4 linked regions of the Drosophila melanogaster genome follow. The protein of the gene in region 1 interacts with the protein of each later gene in a pairwise test. Each region holds a gene or a part of one and is shown in the gene's direction. Other genes may lie near its edges. The genes, in order: CG4168, Dlg5, Hsp60B and Art6.

Evidence for each region.
Region 2: the proteins of CG4168 (region 1) and Dlg5 interact in a two-hybrid assay, tested with the Drosophila melanogaster proteins (one large-scale study listed by BioGRID).
Region 3: the proteins of CG4168 (region 1) and Hsp60B interact in a two-hybrid assay, tested with the Drosophila melanogaster proteins (one large-scale study listed by BioGRID).
Region 4: the proteins of CG4168 (region 1) and Art6 interact in a two-hybrid assay, tested with the Drosophila melanogaster proteins (one large-scale study listed by BioGRID).

The regions. Positions count from the first base shown.
Region 1 is NT_033779.5:15,197,422-15,202,347, reverse strand, and holds the start of CG4168 (uncharacterized protein), read left to right. Parts: upstream 1-1,888; 5' UTR 1,889-2,274; intron 2,275-4,926. Other genes in the region: Sfp35C (seminal fluid protein 35C), read left to right, coding at 284-311, 365-526, 586-641.
Region 2 is NT_033779.5:11,514,044-11,519,002, reverse strand, and holds the start of Dlg5 (discs large 5), read left to right. Parts: upstream 1-1,921; 5' UTR 1,922-2,137; exon of another isoform or gene 2,138-2,201; 5' UTR 2,202-2,280; exon of another isoform or gene 2,281-2,345; 5' UTR 2,346-2,494; intron 2,495-3,185; 5' UTR 3,186-3,222; coding exon 3,223-3,277; intron 3,278-3,329; coding exon 3,330-4,959. Other genes in the region: CG4970 (uncharacterized protein), read right to left, coding at 51-1,511.
Region 3 is NT_033779.5:726,532-731,069, forward strand, and holds Hsp60B (heat shock protein 60B), read left to right. Parts: upstream 1-1,830; 5' UTR 1,831-1,976; coding exon 1,977-3,923; 3' UTR 3,924-4,033; downstream 4,034-4,538. UniProt on the Drosophila melanogaster protein: Prevents misfolding and promotes the refolding and proper assembly of unfolded polypeptides generated under stress conditions.
Region 4 is NT_033777.3:13,944,151-13,947,533, reverse strand, and holds Art6 (arginine methyltransferase 6), read left to right. Parts: upstream 1-1,721; 5' UTR 1,722-1,751; coding exon 1,752-2,149; intron 2,150-2,207; coding exon 2,208-2,835; 3' UTR 2,836-2,880; downstream 2,881-3,383.

The DNA.
Region 1 (4,926 bases):
ATTATTTTACATATTTTACCTTAATGAGTTTAGTTAACCCGAAAATTCTCAAGCTGAATGAATGAATTTAGTGGACTACCGGTTAGCTATTTCTTCTGACTAAAATAAGTTTAGAGTCAATCGCACATTCATTTTTAACATGTACTAAACGTATTATACCATCTCGTACAAAATTTAATTGGATTGTAATGCTTTTTTAACGCATTTAACCTTAACCAATATAACCAATAAAATGCAATGTACTTGAGACTGTTTAAGTCAGTTATAATCGGCTACTATCATTATGAAATTGTTTTTCTTAGTTATTCTGGGTAAGCTAAAGATTTTCTAAATATTTTGATCATTCTTATTGTTAATCAAACAGCCTGTATGCTAATCGGAATTGCATGGGGAGAAAACTGCAATAAGCCGTGCGGAAAATGCATCTTGCCCACCTGCAATTATGATGGCAAATGTTACTTTGAGGGAACTAGCGCTTGTGCTCTGGAAAATGAAAAGTGCCGACGAAAGAAGAATAATCTTGACCGTGAGCTTTATGTTTGAAATGTTTTTTACCCGATTTTAACTTCTTTTAAATGTATTTAGAATTCGTAAAAACCGTGTCTGGGTTCTGTGAGATGGGCGTTAAAATGTGTAAATAGCCAAATAAAATGTTTTCAATTGAATTATATAAATTAAATATATTTCTTTTAAGAAATAAATAGTTCAAAAATAGTTCAATTGCTGTTTGTCCACTATTTTGATGTTTATTTCATTTGGGAGTTTTAAAAAGGGTATATGATATGATTTTTAACCATAACTTAGTTTCGCCTTAATGAAATAATCTACTGCTAGTGCTACAAGTCCAATTGCTCCGTAGTTTGACCGATGAAAACCTCAAGAAGACAAATATGAGGAACATTTTACTTTGCCACTCAAGCCCCAGAAAAGCAAACCCAAACGAAACGAAACGAAGCGAACCAAACCGAGCCACCCAACTATGAAAAATTTAAACTTTGCATCCAAGCCATTTATTCATCCTGCTTGGCATCTGCCATCATATCTTAGCATGCGGTTCTGGCTTCGTCCGGAGTTCTCTGCCCCCATTTTGCATCTTAAAGCCTCCATCTTTATATCTTTAACCATCTCTATGCTCTTCGGTTCTTGGGCAGTTTGGGGTGCACCTTAAAAATTAATTGAAACATCACTACCGGCTAATATTGTAGATTAAAAACAGCAAAAGGAGCTGTGCTGGGTAAGAGGACCGAAATGGGCCGCACCTAGATGAGGCATATAAAACTTTTGGGGTTAACTGAGTGCTCTAAAAACGGTCAGAAACTTGCAAATTGCCAGTATGCTTGGCCATTTATCAGTCTTAGTTGTGGGTTAGTTGGAAAGAATGTTCCACAATAAATTCGAACAACAAATTTGGCTTCTTCTGGAGTTTATTAGCTGGCCGCCGGAATTTTGCGGTCAAAGGGCGACCTGAACTTGAATCTGGCCGGTCGGTCGCCCATCTCCCGCACCTCACCCCCACCATCCACCTATTGTACATCCATCTTCGTCTTTGCCCCCATCAAGTCACTGTCCAGTTTAGAATTTCTTTGAATACTCCGCCTGATGACAGAGCATTGCCAGATAGCATACTAATTCCGGCTCAGTCACTGCGCATGCCCAGATGCTCCGGTAATCGTGGGTCTTCGGGCTTTGGGGCTCTCGCACCAGCGGCATGGGTCGTGTCAACTGACTTCGGGGGCTTCGGTTTTTGGGTCTGTTGCGCCTAGGACAACAATTTCCGTGTTGCATGCCTCGCCTTCGGGTGATCTAAAAACGAAGCGAGTGTCGAGGTCGCCAACGTGCCATAAAATGCGCATAATGTGGCACGGATGTGCCAGTCCACGTTGGTAATTTGGCGCGTGAGCATCGCCGATTATCATTTTTGCCACAAGTGGCAGCCCGTATAGTGATGTTGCTGGTGCAACGGCAACATTTCGTACCTCTAGCCGGCTAGATAAAATCGCGAAATGGTGACCACAAATAGATAGGCTTTGATAGCCGCGAAGCATTAACCAGAGATCGTATCGGTCGAGGGAGATCCGGCAGTGCTTATGATACCAAAAGTAATCAAGCGGTGATTGCAAAGTGAAGTGATCAGTAATCAAAACTCAAGTGGCACGAAAGCAGAAAGAGCAAACGAAGGAGAGAAAAGTAGCCTAGGCACATGCAACAACTGGATACGGATACGCTTTTCAAGCCCTGAACAGCCGCCGACCTACGAACCCACCCACAAGTCAAGTACGTAACAGATTGATGAGCAAGTCGCCGTCGCTGTCTCAAAGAACCACCCACTCACTTGGCCCCCCCACATCATCATCCTCATCCACCTCCTCCTCCTCCAACTCCCAGCCACTCACTCGACCAGGCACTTGACTAAAAGTTCAATTTCCTGCAAGATGCTTTAATTGAAGCGCACAGTAAACAAGAAACAGAAGCGGAGAAACAGAAAACAGAGTGGGCAAGGGTCACTCGTCGCCTTGGGTGCCTTCGCTCTGGTCAGTCATTAGTCATTTGCTCATTTCCGCAAACGCAGCCCGGATGTGCAGCACTTGTCAGTCAATAAACAACCTCGACGGGGGGTGGATGATGGGTGGTGGACGGATGATGGGTGGCGATCCACCCACTCTCCCAATTAAATGTGGCAAACGTATCAGCGTCAATCACCGATTCTGATGGCCAGGCCAGTGCATCCTGCCGCTTCACTGGCGTTTCCACAGATCGGCTGAGGCATCGGGAAAATGTCTCGGGCTATTTACATTGCCGTCCAAGGGATTGGATGCAATTTCGATTGGTTCATGGATCAGGTTGGACTTGCTTAAGGTTTTAATTTAACAAGCAAATGTTGGGTACCATACACTTGCAATGATAGTTTGTTTTATTGAGAGCTATTGATAAACTAACAGCTGTTTGACAAACAACTAAAATAACAGCTGAGAGTTAGTCGAAATGTCTGTAGATTTGGCAAATAAAATATATAAACACATGTGTGGTTTTTAACAATTTTAGATCAATTTTAGTTTGGTTGCAAATTTGGTTCCCAAAAATTATCGCCATTTATATGTAGCAAACAATAGGAAACTACGTATATACAAATGAAATATAAATGTTCATACAAAGATTTTTTTCGAAGGAAGGATTAAAAGACAAAGTATAAGTGTTTTAAACTTTTCTCAACCACTACATTTTTTGGATCTGTGTCTTTGGTCTTTAAGATGATGGAAAGAAAAAGTGGAACGCGCAGAAAAATCTGGAGGTGTAGTGTTGCAGTGGCAGTGGCAGAGTGGGTGAGTGGGCGTCGGTGGGTGGCAGGGGGAGTGGCGACTGCATATGTGTCACACATTGAGTTTCTTGGACAACAATAACCAAGACGGACAGGAGCAGGGTGCATCGCAAAAACGGTGCATAGGTGCTAAAAAAAAAGAAACAACGAGGAGCAACAATGGAACGGAGGTGGGGAAATATGGGGAATGTTGGGGGGAGTACGCAAGCTAACCCAGTTTTTTTTCGACGCTGGTTCTTCACAGCTCAGTTTTGTTTTGGGCCTCCTCTTTTTTTTTATTTTGTCTACTGCTGCTTGGTACATTTCTTTTTATGGCTTTTACGAACTGGCCGCAAAACGACGACGACGAATAACCAACTTCACTGACAGCAGAAGAAACGAAAATATTTCGACCAAAAACTGCCAGACTTGTCCAAAGCCACCCACCACCCACCACCCACCAACCCATCCCACTGGATGAAACCTGTTTTGTAATTGTTGTGTTTTTATTCCGAGTATGCGTGTTGATGCGGATTTCTTTGGCTTTCCCAGCGCCTTCTGGGCTCTAGCTTCTTGCCTGGGCCATTGTCACGTAAATCTGTGACAGAAATTAGCCTCGTTGACAAAAATATGCCTGCTTACACATTATTTGTACAAACAAATAGACGGGCAACAGTTAATGGGCGTGGAGAGTGTCGTCCTCGTGGTGCCTCTGGGTTCCATGGGCACCGTTCCATGGGGTTCTTGGGTTCTTCTGACGGGGGTGTTGCAGATACATGGGTCTGGAGAAATTTGCATGGGAACTGCGCCAGTTGACGCTGTTATTTCTTGGCCTCTTTTGGGCGAATTCCTCAGCTAGTTTTGTGGCTGTCGTCCTGTCGGCTTTTCTTCTTCGCCTTGTTTTATTGATCTGTTTATGCTTTAGGACCTCTGGCCCTACACTTCCCCCCCATCACAGCAATCTCTGTCAAACCCTCATCATGGATAAACAAACAAAAAAAGTTTTATTTGTGGACTACTGAAAATGCAAAATAAAAAAAAAGAAAACAAAAAGCAAGGGATGCGGGGACCGCAAATGTGCTTTTTCGGGGCAAAGTTGTGCCTAGGCTAATGACCAGACAGGCGTGAAGGCAATCATAAACTGCGTACATTTCATCCTCCCACACTTCGCACTCGAAGTTAATTTTCCTTGACCAGAGTCTAGCCAGGTTGGAAAGTTTACTCTAGCTCTTAATCAACTCATTATAATGAACAGAGAAATAAAATATCCATAACATGCCGTCGATTAAATTATTTGGTTGCCTTACGGCACTTTTGCTGATTGACTTTATGGAGTTTTGGTCTGATTTTTTCCAATAAAATGTAATGAGATTAATAAATCAAATTGTTGCACATAAACGATTAATGCTATAAAAATGTATGCATGTATTTAATTATACCGCTTACTTTTAGAGTTAAGGGTATACAACATTCGTTGAAAAGTTTGTATCAGTTAGAAGGATGAGTTTTCGACCCTATATTTTTTGAACATTGATATTAAGAATGCAGATTCTAGAAACGGCGAGATTGTGCATCTTACCCACTCTAACGCTGAGTACAGGGTATCAGATAGCCGAGGAAATCGACTCTCT
Region 2 (4,959 bases), 3.7 Mb from region 1:
AACAATAAAAGTGTTTTTGTTTAATTTTTAATCCGATTTTGAAGACTCACAAAGCGAAGGCGTTCAGACGGTTGGCTGTCCCGCAGTAATGTGCTTCTGAAGATCTCCTCCAGCCTCTCGATCTTCTCGTTGTCCTCTCGTTGCATCCGCTCCAATTCCGACAGCAGTCGTTCCTTTTCAGCCAGGTGCATCTGCTCAGCCTGTCGTGTCCTGTTAAGCCAATGATCCAATTCGTTTAGGGCACCCAAGTACCGACTCCGTTGGGATTCGTTGATGTAGGATCTGCTGCTCGGCGTTACGAGGGAGTACTTAAATCGACGCAGGTGGTGTTCCGTCAGTCGTTTGGTCAGTAAATTGTTGTCGTGGCTCACCCAGTGGTGATCCTCGACTTCCTTGAACAGGCGATTCATTAGCTTACTTTTGTCTAGATTTTTTGACCGCAAATAGTCTGTATTAACGAATATGTCCACAACTTTCTCAATAAGCCCATCCAGATAGCTTTGGACCATTTGACCGATGGAAAAAGTCGTAGGGATGGAATTGAGGCTAGATGTGGAGGACCTGGACTCAGATGTAATGTCCTTAAAAGTGGCCACATGACTCGATTTGAATTGCATTCCCTGCAATCTCCAATCGCTTTCGTCAACAGATTCTAGTCCTGAGGGCGATGGTATCTCCGTACCATGCACATCGTCATCGTTTTGCGAGGAAGGTGCTTCATAATTGGATTCGCTGGGAATGAGGCTTTCCATCGACGAGGACAACGACTTGCGGGCCAGTTGAATCTGTAACTGTTCTAGTTCCGAGCCCGGCACCTGCTGCATTTCCACACTCTTCTTATCGATGCCCAGATTGTGATCTGTAGTCCCGATATCACTAAGTTCATCCCAATCGGGAATGTTCCTGAGGGTTTGGAGGATATCAAAGCGCATCCTTATGTTCGAGTCGGAGGATACACTCATTTGGTCTTCGTGATCCGTGGTATTTCCCAATTCCGAGTCCATTTTATCGCCATCACTCTGATTGGTCGCCTCCTCCACGCTGTCCGTAGAACTAGTTAAGTGCGGATGTGAATGAACTATTTTAAGCTGAGTTTCCGCGCTGGCTTCGAGTTTCCTAAGCTTATATAAATGAAACGGCTGTTCTTCTATATAAGATAATTTCCTTTTAACTGCGCTACTTGACTTTTTCGATGGTAACGAGCTTATGGAGACCACCGATCTGCGAACATTCTGTTTGGGCATTCCTCGTTGGGAGGAAGGAATGGGTATGGGTACTGAAGTACTCCAGACACTTGGCGCGGTGGATGCGATACGCTCATCGGAATCCGTACTATGACTCGGGATGCTCATTATACTAGTTATGTGGCTTTCGCCGGAAGTTGCAACCTTCTTGGCGCTCGCATCGTTGACTACCTTTTTTCGATCTCTTTTGCCCTGCAAATTGACCAACTTCTTGGGTATTATTTTACTTTTAATGAATAAAAATTTTGCTCGCCCTGGCTTGGCCATTTTCCAAAAGGTTGTTAGTGCGTGCAACTTGCGCAAAGTGCAGCAGTTGCAAAAAGTATTAAAAATTACAAAGAACAAAATAAACAACAACGGTTTGAACTAAATATTGTGTAATAATATCATTATATTTGATTAAAATCTCCCAAGTTTTCTAATGGGTTTGGAACATTGCTAAGCGAAGACACTTCCAGCACGATTGCGCGCCAACTTAGCGTGTACACACTCCCACTTAGTACACATATACAGCGCTGCCAGCCGTTCGTAAAGAGGAGCGGCAGTTCCGATATAGAAGGAATGATCTTATATGTACATTTTACATTCGGGATTTATTTGTTTTTTAAGAAAGCTGGGCTAATGAATCGATATTAAACAATACTATCGATTTTAATATTGTCTAAAGAGACAGAGTGTATTATTTATCGGTCACTCCGCGGTCACACTGGTGACGTTTTAGTGAAGAAGTTGTGTTGTTTTTTTTTATTTCATTTCGTTCAATTTTCGTTGGCCATTCGTCATCGCTTTCGTCGCAGTGTTCTTCCAAGAGTGTCGTGCACCGTAGAGGTTGACTTTTCGCCCAACGATCCAAGAAACTCAACTTCCGGAATCCGGATGCGCGAGCGAAAACGGTAAAAGTCGTCGGTTGTCCCGTTCAACGTCCGCCTGTTGCATCTCTCCCTCTCTTTCCCGCAGGGCTGGAATTGGGGTGGAGCTCGTCCCCTCTCTTTCGCGCGCCCATTCAGCTGTTGCGTTCGCGTGCGTGTGTGTGAGTGTGCGTAATAAGATTTTCGATGTAAAGGAAAATACGCTATATTTTCCTATTTTTTGGACAAATAGGCGTGCTGCTGGGCCAAGATAAACTCCAATCAAGGAAAAAAAGGGTTTATATAACTCGCAGTGCTTTCCACCATTGTGTGTTCGCCAGCTTTTCTTCTCTTTCATTCGGCCAACTTGTTTTGCCCGCCTGCGAGTGTGTTGGTGTTTCGGTAAGTGTGTGTGTGTGTGCATACATGTTGCTATTAATTTACGCTTTCTGCTCGGCTGCTTCAATTAATTCTTTAGCTTAGTCTCGATGCTTTAACTCGACTGCTTAATTGCCACACATTTCATTTTCGCAAGCAATAGCCGTTTGTAAGAGTTACCAAAAACTGCGTAACTTCCCTTTTTTCTACACTTCGCCACCTATCCCCATTCTCCCTACTGCCTACCCACGCCCACTCCCGCCCATTTTCTCATTCCCCATTGCGGTTGTATTTAAATTCGATTCGTTCGATTGTGAAAATCGCGGTTTCACAAAAATTGTGAAAGTTTCGTTTTTCCAATGCCTTGCTTTTCATACTTACTCGCACACTTCAAAAAATACAGCAATGGTCAAAATAGTATTACTAGTAAAGTTAACAAAAAGTTACAGTTTATTTTAGATAAAAGGTTAAAAGGTAAAAGTTTGAATCCTCACCTTTGGATGTTTAAAAAAAAATTGTATAAACCAAAAATAAATTTTCTAAAAATTAATAAATAAACGGATAAGATGAACGAACTCCATATCAAAGAAAAAACCAAACCCCAATTGGAAAGCAGAATGCATTACGCTAAACAAATTAGTTAGACAGCCTGGAACCTCGCTTAACTTTAACTTTAGCACGAACCTAATTAATCTTTTGTACTTTTACTCATCAGCATACCCTTATGTTAAGTATTACCTAAAGATGCTGTGATGGCGAAGATGGCATCTGGAGATCTATCGCTGACTAGTACGAGTAGCCAGGAAGGTAAGACGCCGTATTCATTTAAAGTACCTACCCATAGCGTCTTTAATTTTAGAAGAGAGCTCGGAGTATGTGGGCTATGATAATACCCTACGACCGCCGTCCAATTCCAGCGGCAGCACCACAGCTGCCAACATGTCCAACAACAACGGGCCCTCGAAGGGCGTCAGTAGCGGTGTGGGCGTGTCGGGCATTTCTGGTGGAAACGGCGCAAATTACGATATACTGCAGGCGCAGTACAAGTCCGCACTTTTGGAGCTAAATACCCTACGCCACCAGCATGCGAACACCAAGAGGCGATGCGATGAGTTAGCCACCGAGTTAACTCTGTACCAGGAGCATTACGTGGCCGATCGTAACAAGTTCACCGATATGGTGGAGGAGAGCGCCCGTTTCAAGCGTCTGCTATTGGAGACCCAAAACCAACAGAGCCAGCAGGCCCAGAATGGAAATAGCCAAGTGCCGCCAGTCGGCAGTGGGAATCCTTATTATTTTGGCAAGACGCAGGGATGCGATGGAAGCTGCAGTGAGAAGCTGGCCGAACTGAAGAAAGAGCGAAATATGGTCGCCGTGGAGAGGGAGAAGTACAAGAAGTCCTACATCGAGCTTGAAAAGGATCGCAACTACTACCGGGAGCGAGGCGATGAAAATCAGAAACTGAAGGTTCTTCTCTCCCAGGAGAGTAAGAATGTGCTTTCCCTTACCGAGGAGCTTAATCAACTGCTCTCAGAGAAGGACAACGTGCTGCAGGAGCACCAGAAGATGTCCGACGATCTGGTTCTGGCCAACAAAGAAATTGAGAGGCTCAAAAAGGACGAACAGCTTGCCAGGGCTGAAATCAAGGTTCTACAGCTGGCCAATGCGGACCTTAAAAAGCGCGATCTTCTAAAGTCTCGCGATAGCTCGTGGTCCAAAGAATTTCCGAGTGGAAAGGAGCTGGAGAACAGCAAGGAACTGGAAAAGCTGCGCAAGAGCTTAGAAAAGGCCCTCTCGGAGGTGGAGCGTTCAAGCCAGGATGCCGAAGAAGCGAAGCGCGTAAGGGATTGGGCCATATCGCAACGTGAGAAGATCGTGCAGGAGCGGGATTCGGTGAAGACGCTCTGTGATAAAATGCGCCACGAGAGAGATAAAGCCATCTCCGACTCGCTGATGGCCATCCGGGATAGCGAAAAGATTAAAAAGCAGAAGGACGAAGCGCAGAAAAAGATCGACTTGTTGAAAGAACAAATGGAGCAGCAAGAGCGCCAAAATCTTGACAGTAACGCCTCCGGATCCCGACGCAGTTTCCGCCCAAGCAGTTACGAAGGTGAGGATCTCCTGGAAGTAGAGCTGTCCGGCTACGAGCACACGTCCGACCTGGGCATCATCCTGGATGACAGCAACAAGCGAAAATTAGTGTGTGGCGTTACCAGCAGTTCCCCCGCCTGCGGGAAGCTCAAGATTAACGATGTGATCTGCAAGGTGAACAACTTGGACTGCCAGTCTTTGTCGAAACGGATGGTTCTTGATGAGATCCGCGCCTGTGCTCCTCGTTCCCTCCTGCTCGTTTCCCGAACTCGTCACAGCAAACGGCACGCCTATTCTGTTCAGCTAAAGACTAGGGATAGGGATTGCCCGCATGGCCTGCAACTGGACATGGGAGTGTTCATTGCAAAGATCGAGCAAAATTCGCTAGCCTTCTACGA
Region 3 (4,538 bases), about 14 Mb from region 1:
CCAGCCTCAGTCAAATCGAGTCAAAAAGTTAATTACAGTGAATGCGGCCAACGATTTTCATGCACTCTTGACACCGCCCGGTACGTGACAATATGAGAGGCACTCATTCCGCGACGCAGAGTTGGCCACAGTTGGGTCAAAAAAACTAGGGGGGCAAAGGCTAAATTGAGGCTAAGCTTTAGCTGCCTCATTACACTCAGAAATATGCACTAACAGCTAGCGTATGGCCAGAATTGAAACATGACACACACATTTTATATGCCCGTTAATTACTGTAATTCAAGATCAAAATTATTGGCCATTTAAAATTGTTGAACCTGATAATTTGCTATGACGACCACCAAATTATTTATTTTAGTGCAGTTCATCGATAGATCGCTCCCATCAGCTCAATCTGCACTTGGCTGCCCCAGATCCCAGATCCAGGAATTTCGTCTGCCTGGTACTTACGCAAATGCTCAGATTGAACTGCCAGTCTATCGTCTGCAGTCTATCCATTTCTCATTAAAACTTTCTTTGCTGTCTGCTCCACAATTACCCGAACGACTTCATCTGCTCGATCCACGGATCCATCCGCGGGTAATGACAGAGCCGGCAAAAAATCTGCCAAAACCAATAGGAAATCATCAGCCAACGGTCAGTGGGTTAATTTTGGCCCACCAAAAATACTGAAATGAATTGGAGAATCCCCGAAGATGGCCTGCAATTAATCATAGATTGAGGCTTATTCGCTATCCAGCGAAAGTAATTTGTAGCCGACAAGAGACCCTGCAGATCGCTTGTAGTTACGATTATCGCACAGCCCACCAGGTGGTCTTCCCACCATGGACACTTTCACATGTCGCAGAGTTGGCGCAGATGGGGAGAAAGGTTGCGAGAGGAAGAAGAGTCGTCGAACATGCAAATGCCTCATCAATCAGCTCCTCCGCCCTTCCCCTTCAAATCGGTGACGTGCTTTTGACACAAAACCCGGCTACTGTGCTACCGCTTGCACATGGCAATCAACGCGTCAAGCGGCCAGGAAACGGATCCCGATTCCGACCCCAGTTCCAATTCCCGTCTGCGGCACACAGAAAAAAGTTATACCTACTGAACTAAATGTGACATTATTTTATACGTATAGAATACGAGAGATAGCTCATATAAATCGCATTGAATTTATATGCAAACCTATTTCTAAACATTCATACCTAAGTGCAATTCATCGTGCGAAAGTAATGCCTTCTTGCGCGCTGTGCACCCAACATTTTCATCCCATCTCCATTTCCATCTCCGCCTCAAACTCCCCATTTCCATTTCCATTTGCCGTTTGGCTTGCAGCAAAATGTGTGAATTTCTTTAGTTTGCAGTAGGCAGCACACAATTTTTGACAGCTGCCTTCGAAATGGGAACGGTCAGCCGAGGAAAATGCATCCATCCTCCGGTGCAGAACAGTCGCACCGCAGTTCTGGGAAATCTGCACACGCTGGTCTTGTTTGTGGGTCAGCCTCAGCCGATGGAGGCGAATAGAACTGCAAATGGGCAGACTCCACCCAGAATGTCGGGGCTTATTAGCTGCACGCTAATTTATTCCGGCAAACAGAAGGCACGGCTTCTGTTGTCGAAGATTTCAGAGCCGCAGATCGCAGACGGGCAGGCGCCAGACAAATGAATGTTGTGAAATCTGGCGATTGCCTGGAAACTTGTCCGCAAAGAGAAAAAAGAAAAAAGAGAAAAGTGCTCAAGGAAAAGCAATATAAATAAAGAAGAATGGCTTGCACATGTTACATAAAACGAGAAGCTTAAAGATAATGGAAACAAAATTTGGATTTGAATATGGGAGTAGGCCTTGAACGAGTCCGTCTAGTCCGTCAGTATCGAGTCAACAACCTACATATTAGTTGCACTCACTTCGTGTCTGAGATCAAACGAAAAAATATTAGAACCAAAAGTTTTGAAAGTTTTTTTTTTATTATAGTTTCAAACTTAAGTGCAAAATGTTTCGGTCGTGTGTGCCCAAGGCGATTACCTCTAGTCGCTGTTTCGCGCGGATGTACTCGAAGGACGTGCGCTTTGGCTCCGGAGTACGGGCAATGATGATCCGGGGCGTTGATATTCTGGCTGATGCCGTTGCTGTGACCATGGGGCCCAAGGGTCGCAGTGTGATCGTGGAGCGACCATGGACCTCGCCGAAGATCACCAAGGACGGCTTCACGGTCGCGCGCTCGATTGCCCTAAAGGACCAGCACATGAATCTGGGCGCCAAGTTGGTCCAGGATGTGGCCGATAATACGAATGAGTCGGCGGGTGACGGCACGACCACAGCAACAGTTTTGGCTCGAGCGATTGCCAAGGAAGGATTCAATCAGATTACCATGGGGGCTAATCCCGTGGAGATTCGTCGAGGTGTCATGTTAGCTGTTGACGTCGTAAAGGACAAGCTGAAGGAAATGTCCAAGGCAGTGGAAACGCGTGAGGAGATCCAACAAGTAGCCACCCTCTCCGCGAACGGGGATACTGAAATTGGGCGGCTCATTGGTGAGGCCACCGACAAAGTGGGTCCAAGAGGAACTATTACTGTAAAGGATGGCAAGCGCCTGAAGGACGAGCTAAATATTATCCAGGGCCTGCGCTTCGACAACGGCTATGTGTCGCCCTTTTTCGTAAACAGCTCCAAGGGGTCCAAGGTGGAGTTTGCCAACGCCCTTGTAATGATATCCCTGAAGAAGATCACTGGACTCTCGCAAATAGTTAAAGGTCTGGAGCAATCCCTGAGGCAGCGTCGTCCCCTGATCATCATAGCCGAGGACATCAGCGGGGAAGCCCTCAATGCTTTGGTCCTGAACAAGCTCAGGTTGGGCCTCCAGGTGTGCGCCGTCAAATCGCCCAGCTATGGACACCACCGCAAGGAGCTTATAGGCGATATATCCGCTGCCACGGGAGCAACTATTTTCGGCGATGACATCAACTATTCCAAAATGGAGGAGGCTAAGCTGGAGGATCTGGGTCAGGTTGGCGAGGCTGTGATTAGCAAGGACAGCACCATGCTCCTGCAGGGCAAACCCAAGACAGGACTTTTGGAAATGCGCATCCAGCAAATTCAAGATGAACTGGCGGAAAAGCAAATCAAGCCAGAGCAGCGGGATCGTCTGCGCCAACGCCTCTCCGCCCTCACGAAGGGCGTGGCAGTGCTGCACATTGGTGGAGGCAGTGAAGTTGAGGTGAATGAGAAAAAGGACCGTGTGGTGGACGCCTTGAATGCCACTCGAGCGGCCATCGAAGAGGGAATTGTCCCAGGTGGCGGTACGGCCTTTTTGCGCTGCATTCCCTACCTCCAGGAACTCAAAACGGAGAGTGCAGATCTCCAGAAGGGCGTCGATATCGTCTGCAATGCCCTGAGGATGCCTTGCCAGACCATAGCTCAAAACGCCGGAGTTGATGGCCCAATGGTGGTGGCCAAGGTGTTGAATGGCTCGGAAGACTACGGCTACGATGCCATGGGCGATGAGTACTGTCGGCTGGTCGAGAAGGGCATTATTGATCCCACAAAGGTGCTGCGGACCGCCATCACGGATGCAGCTGGAGTGGCCTCTCTTCTGAGCACCACCGAGGTGGTTATCACCGACTCCCGGAACGATGATCTTTTGTCCAAGTTGTCAGGAGCTGGCGGCGGAATGGATGATGGACTGGACATGAACATGGGTGGCTTAGAGGAGCTGGCAGCCTTAAGTGGATTGGGTGGCATGGGTGGTATGGGAGGCATGGGTGGTATGGGAGGTATGGGAGGAATGGGAGGTGGATTCGGCGGAATGGGCGCTGGTGGCGGAATGAGCGCTTCTGCCAGCAATGACGGTCCCACTGCCGAGGAGATGAATGAAATGGTCAAGGCTATTCCCGGCATGGAGCAAGTAGAGGTGCGTGACATTGACAGTGGGATGATGTAGAACCCGCTTCCGTTATCCGCTCCAGCTCAAATCGTTTCTATAGTTCAAATATCTGTTGAGTGTCTAAATTTTATGTGTTCATCTAAAATATAAATTGACAATCGAAAACGAATTGTATAAAACAGTCGGGAACCCTTCCAAATGACTTGAGAAAGTGAATTATTGGCCTTTTCCCTACACCAGCAGTTTTCTGGCCAAATATCTTTCAACCGGTTCATTATGCTGGTCTGCAAAAAGCTACACTTCCTTCACACTTTCGGTTTTTAATTGCAGCCGAAAATTTGGAACGGCGACCGGCAGAGCGAATCCAGCTGCAATGCGATGATCATTTGCATAAAACAAACAGCAATTTCTCACACATGTGAGCCGACCCTCGGTTTTTTCCCCCGTACTTTGCATGGTTTGTGTTTGCAGATTTCATTTGTGGCCCGCAGCTAAAAAAGCGATTCGTTACATGAGAGTGAGTGCGCAAGAAGGGGGGCCTGAGGCTGGGAGCCTCCACAAGAGCGTCACATCAAACATGCATCAATAAATAAGTAATTCCAATTTGCAAATTTTTCATCGAGGCCCGCAAACGAACCGAAAATGGTGGACGGACCCATCGAGCATCGAGCG
Region 4 (3,383 bases), on another chromosome or scaffold:
CCCTGTTGAGCATTGATGTGAGCACATGTTATTATTTGTTTTTGATGAAGTGGTTGATTACAATCGACCCTCCCCAATCATTTTCATCCAACCCTGATTGTCCTCCAACTGTGGTTACAATTTTACTTGTAAACAGGAATTCGGGCCAAATGAACCAGGAGAGGAATAGATGACTTTGATTAAATAGGGCTCGGAGATGGGAAACTACTGTGAATAATCATTTAAAAAATATATAGTACATTAAATAACATATTTTTGTAATATAGTTGCAATTCTGGATCCTTAGAAACACAAATACTCACCAAAATCTATAAACTATTTGTTGAAACTAAAAATGCAAATTAGAACTTAATCTTGTTTCTTGTTAAAACTAAAAATGCCTCTTAGAAACTTAATCTTGTAATTGGTATTAAAAAATATAAATTTGTAAACTCAAATATCATTGGGATATTGGATAAATATCAATAAACTTCCATTTTATTATCTGGAAAATTAAAATTAAATTCCATTTAAGTTAAGGTCATAAAAGTCAGCATTTTATGGCTTTTGGCTTGTGGGTCAGCAGGTGAAAATCGAAAATCGAGGTGGGCCACCCACACCTTGCATAATTGGCCCATATCGAACATTTGGTAATACGCGATAGAAGAGCTCCAAGTTGGCCAGAGAGAAGACATCGGATTGACAATGGATTCAGTATGCAAAGCATCGTCGCATTTTAATCGCCTCAGTGGGTGGCATTCTCATTGGGAACAACGAACACTAATGGAAACTTACGTCGTTTTTTAATTGATTTGTGCCAAAAGTTTTATAGGTTTTTAAAGCCGTCCAAAACAAATGGCAACGATTGTTGGCCGGGCCCAAACGCAATCGCAGATCGAACAAATTCGAAACGACCCCCCGGCCGGAGGAGCGAACCTAATTATGGAACGCCCGAAATGGCAAATTAGCATAAAATTTAGCAACATTAAAAATTATAGTTTATTATGCTCGAGTGTCGCGTGTGTGTGCGTGTGCTCCTTTTTATTGTTGCTCTGTGACTAAATTGATTAATGAGCCCATTTAATAGCTGCATCTGCTTATGGAGATATTTTTATGACACTTAAAAAAACAAAATGATGACGGGCATTTTTTCGCCTTTAATTTCAACTATTTTCGTTTACCGTTGGCCACAAACAAGTTGCACAATTTTGGACGCTCACAGTGAAAGTGCCTGTTGGTTGGTGCAAGGGGGGGGGAGGGGGAAGAGAGGAATCATTAAGTTTTGGCCATAAAAATAAATTCGGGGCTGGGCGGATTAAGCGAGTTATGGCCTGGTGTTAAGGTGTTGGCGGCACATTTCTTTCACGGCCTTTTGAGTGGGGCGATTTTTTTGGTCGATTTTAATGGGTCCATTAAATGCAAAATTTTGATTTATCTTGCTTCGGCCATTCAAATGCAAATAATGGCGATAGAATGACGTAGTATTGTTCATCATTTTATGCTGGTTATAACCAATTTTTATAGATTTTTGTTTGTGACCAAATGTGGCAAAATTTGTGAATATTCGGATCTTTTCTTCATTTTACTCACTTAAATATGAAAGCTGCCTTTCTTATCTTATCTATAAAATATAAGATATAATTTGAATACCCTTTCGAGGCAAACAGATGACCAGATGGCCATGATTTTTCTATCAAATATTGTCCCATTAAAATAGATGTGTATGTTTTATGTGACTTGTGAAATTCTATTGCAGCTGAATAATCCTGAAAATGTCTTTTAATGCCAACCAAAAATTGCCCTTCCTGGAGGGCAAAGATAGCGACTATTTTCAATCCTATTCCCGCCTGGAGACCCACATGAACATGCTCAGGGACTCGGTGCGCATGCAGGCTTTTCGCGATGCCATCGTCCAGGATGGAGGGCTATTCCAGGACAAGATCGTGCTGGATGTGGGCTGTGGCACGGGTATACTATCCCTTTTCGCCGCCGAGGCTGGTGCCAGTAAAGTTATAGCCGTTGAATGCACCGATATAGCGGATATAGCCGAGGAGATAATAAGGGACAATCAGAAGGAGAATGTGGTGAAGGTGGTCAAGGGATTGGTGGAGCAAGTGGAGCTGCCCGACGGCATTGAGAAGGTGGACATCATAGTTTCCGAATGGATGGGGTAAGGTATATTAATGAAGTTATAAAATTTTAAAATGACTTGCATTTTATATTATTAGAAATGCTCTGTATATGGAGGCCATGATAAACTCCGTGCTGTTTGCCCGGGATAAGTGGCTCACGCGTGGTGGGCGAATCCTGCCCAGCACTGGAAACCTCTGGTTAATGGGGGCCTATGATCCGCATCGGCGGACTAATCTTAACTTTTGGTGCAACGTGGAGGGCATCGACATGGGCTGTGTGAGGAAGCCATTCTCCCAGGAGCCCTTGGTGGAGTTTGTGCCCATCCAGCAGTTGCTCACCGACGAATGCTTCATACACTCCACCAACCTGGCTGTGGCCCGCAACCAGCCGGTGGAGTTTCAATCGAACTTTCAATTAAAAGTCATGCGAACTGGAATTATCAATATGCTGGTCCTGTACTTCGATGTCTTGTTTCCGTCGGGAAAGTCGAACAAATCCGTAAGCCTGACCACCTCGCCGCATTCGCCATGGACGCACTGGGAGCAGACGGTGCTCCATCTGGATGAGCCACTGTATGTGAGGATTAGGGATCGGGTGCGCGGTGTGCTGGCCATGACGCCCACCGGACAAGATGGACGTGGCATGAACTTTGATCTGCACATCAGCTTCCGTGGCGAAAGAACGCGAGTGGAGAGCTTCAAGAGCTTCTCCTCACCAAGATGAACCTGAAGTTCATTTGAAATTTAAAAACATAAGAATGTTGAACCGAATTGATAACTGCCATAAAATGGGTCGTTAATCTAGGGCCTCCAATTGCCCAAGGGTTGGGTTTTATATTTTTTTATGACAATCAATCCGCGGCGGGGCTTAGAAAGTGGACAGACGAAATGTTAACGACTTTCCTAACAAATTAATTTCAAAGCCAGGTCATTGCCGAGGGGAGAATGTGAAAATGTGTCCCTCCCCGGGCTCTAATTAATTGATGAGCCGTCGTATAAATTTGTGAAAGCCAACGCCGTGGGCCCACAATGAACGCCTTTTATGCGTTTATAACTCTATTTACTATTTTAGCCATTTGCATTGTCTCGCTTCTCGCATCTCGAGAGCTTGGTTGCCCAAAAAATCTCTTGTCAGCTCGTTTTGTGTTTGTGCACAGACGGACTGGTCTTTGTTAATGGGAGTTCTTAAAAGGCCATAAAGTTGCTTTATGCGCCCATGAAATTAATATGCACACCATTATTGGACATGATTATAAAATATTGGTTATCTAG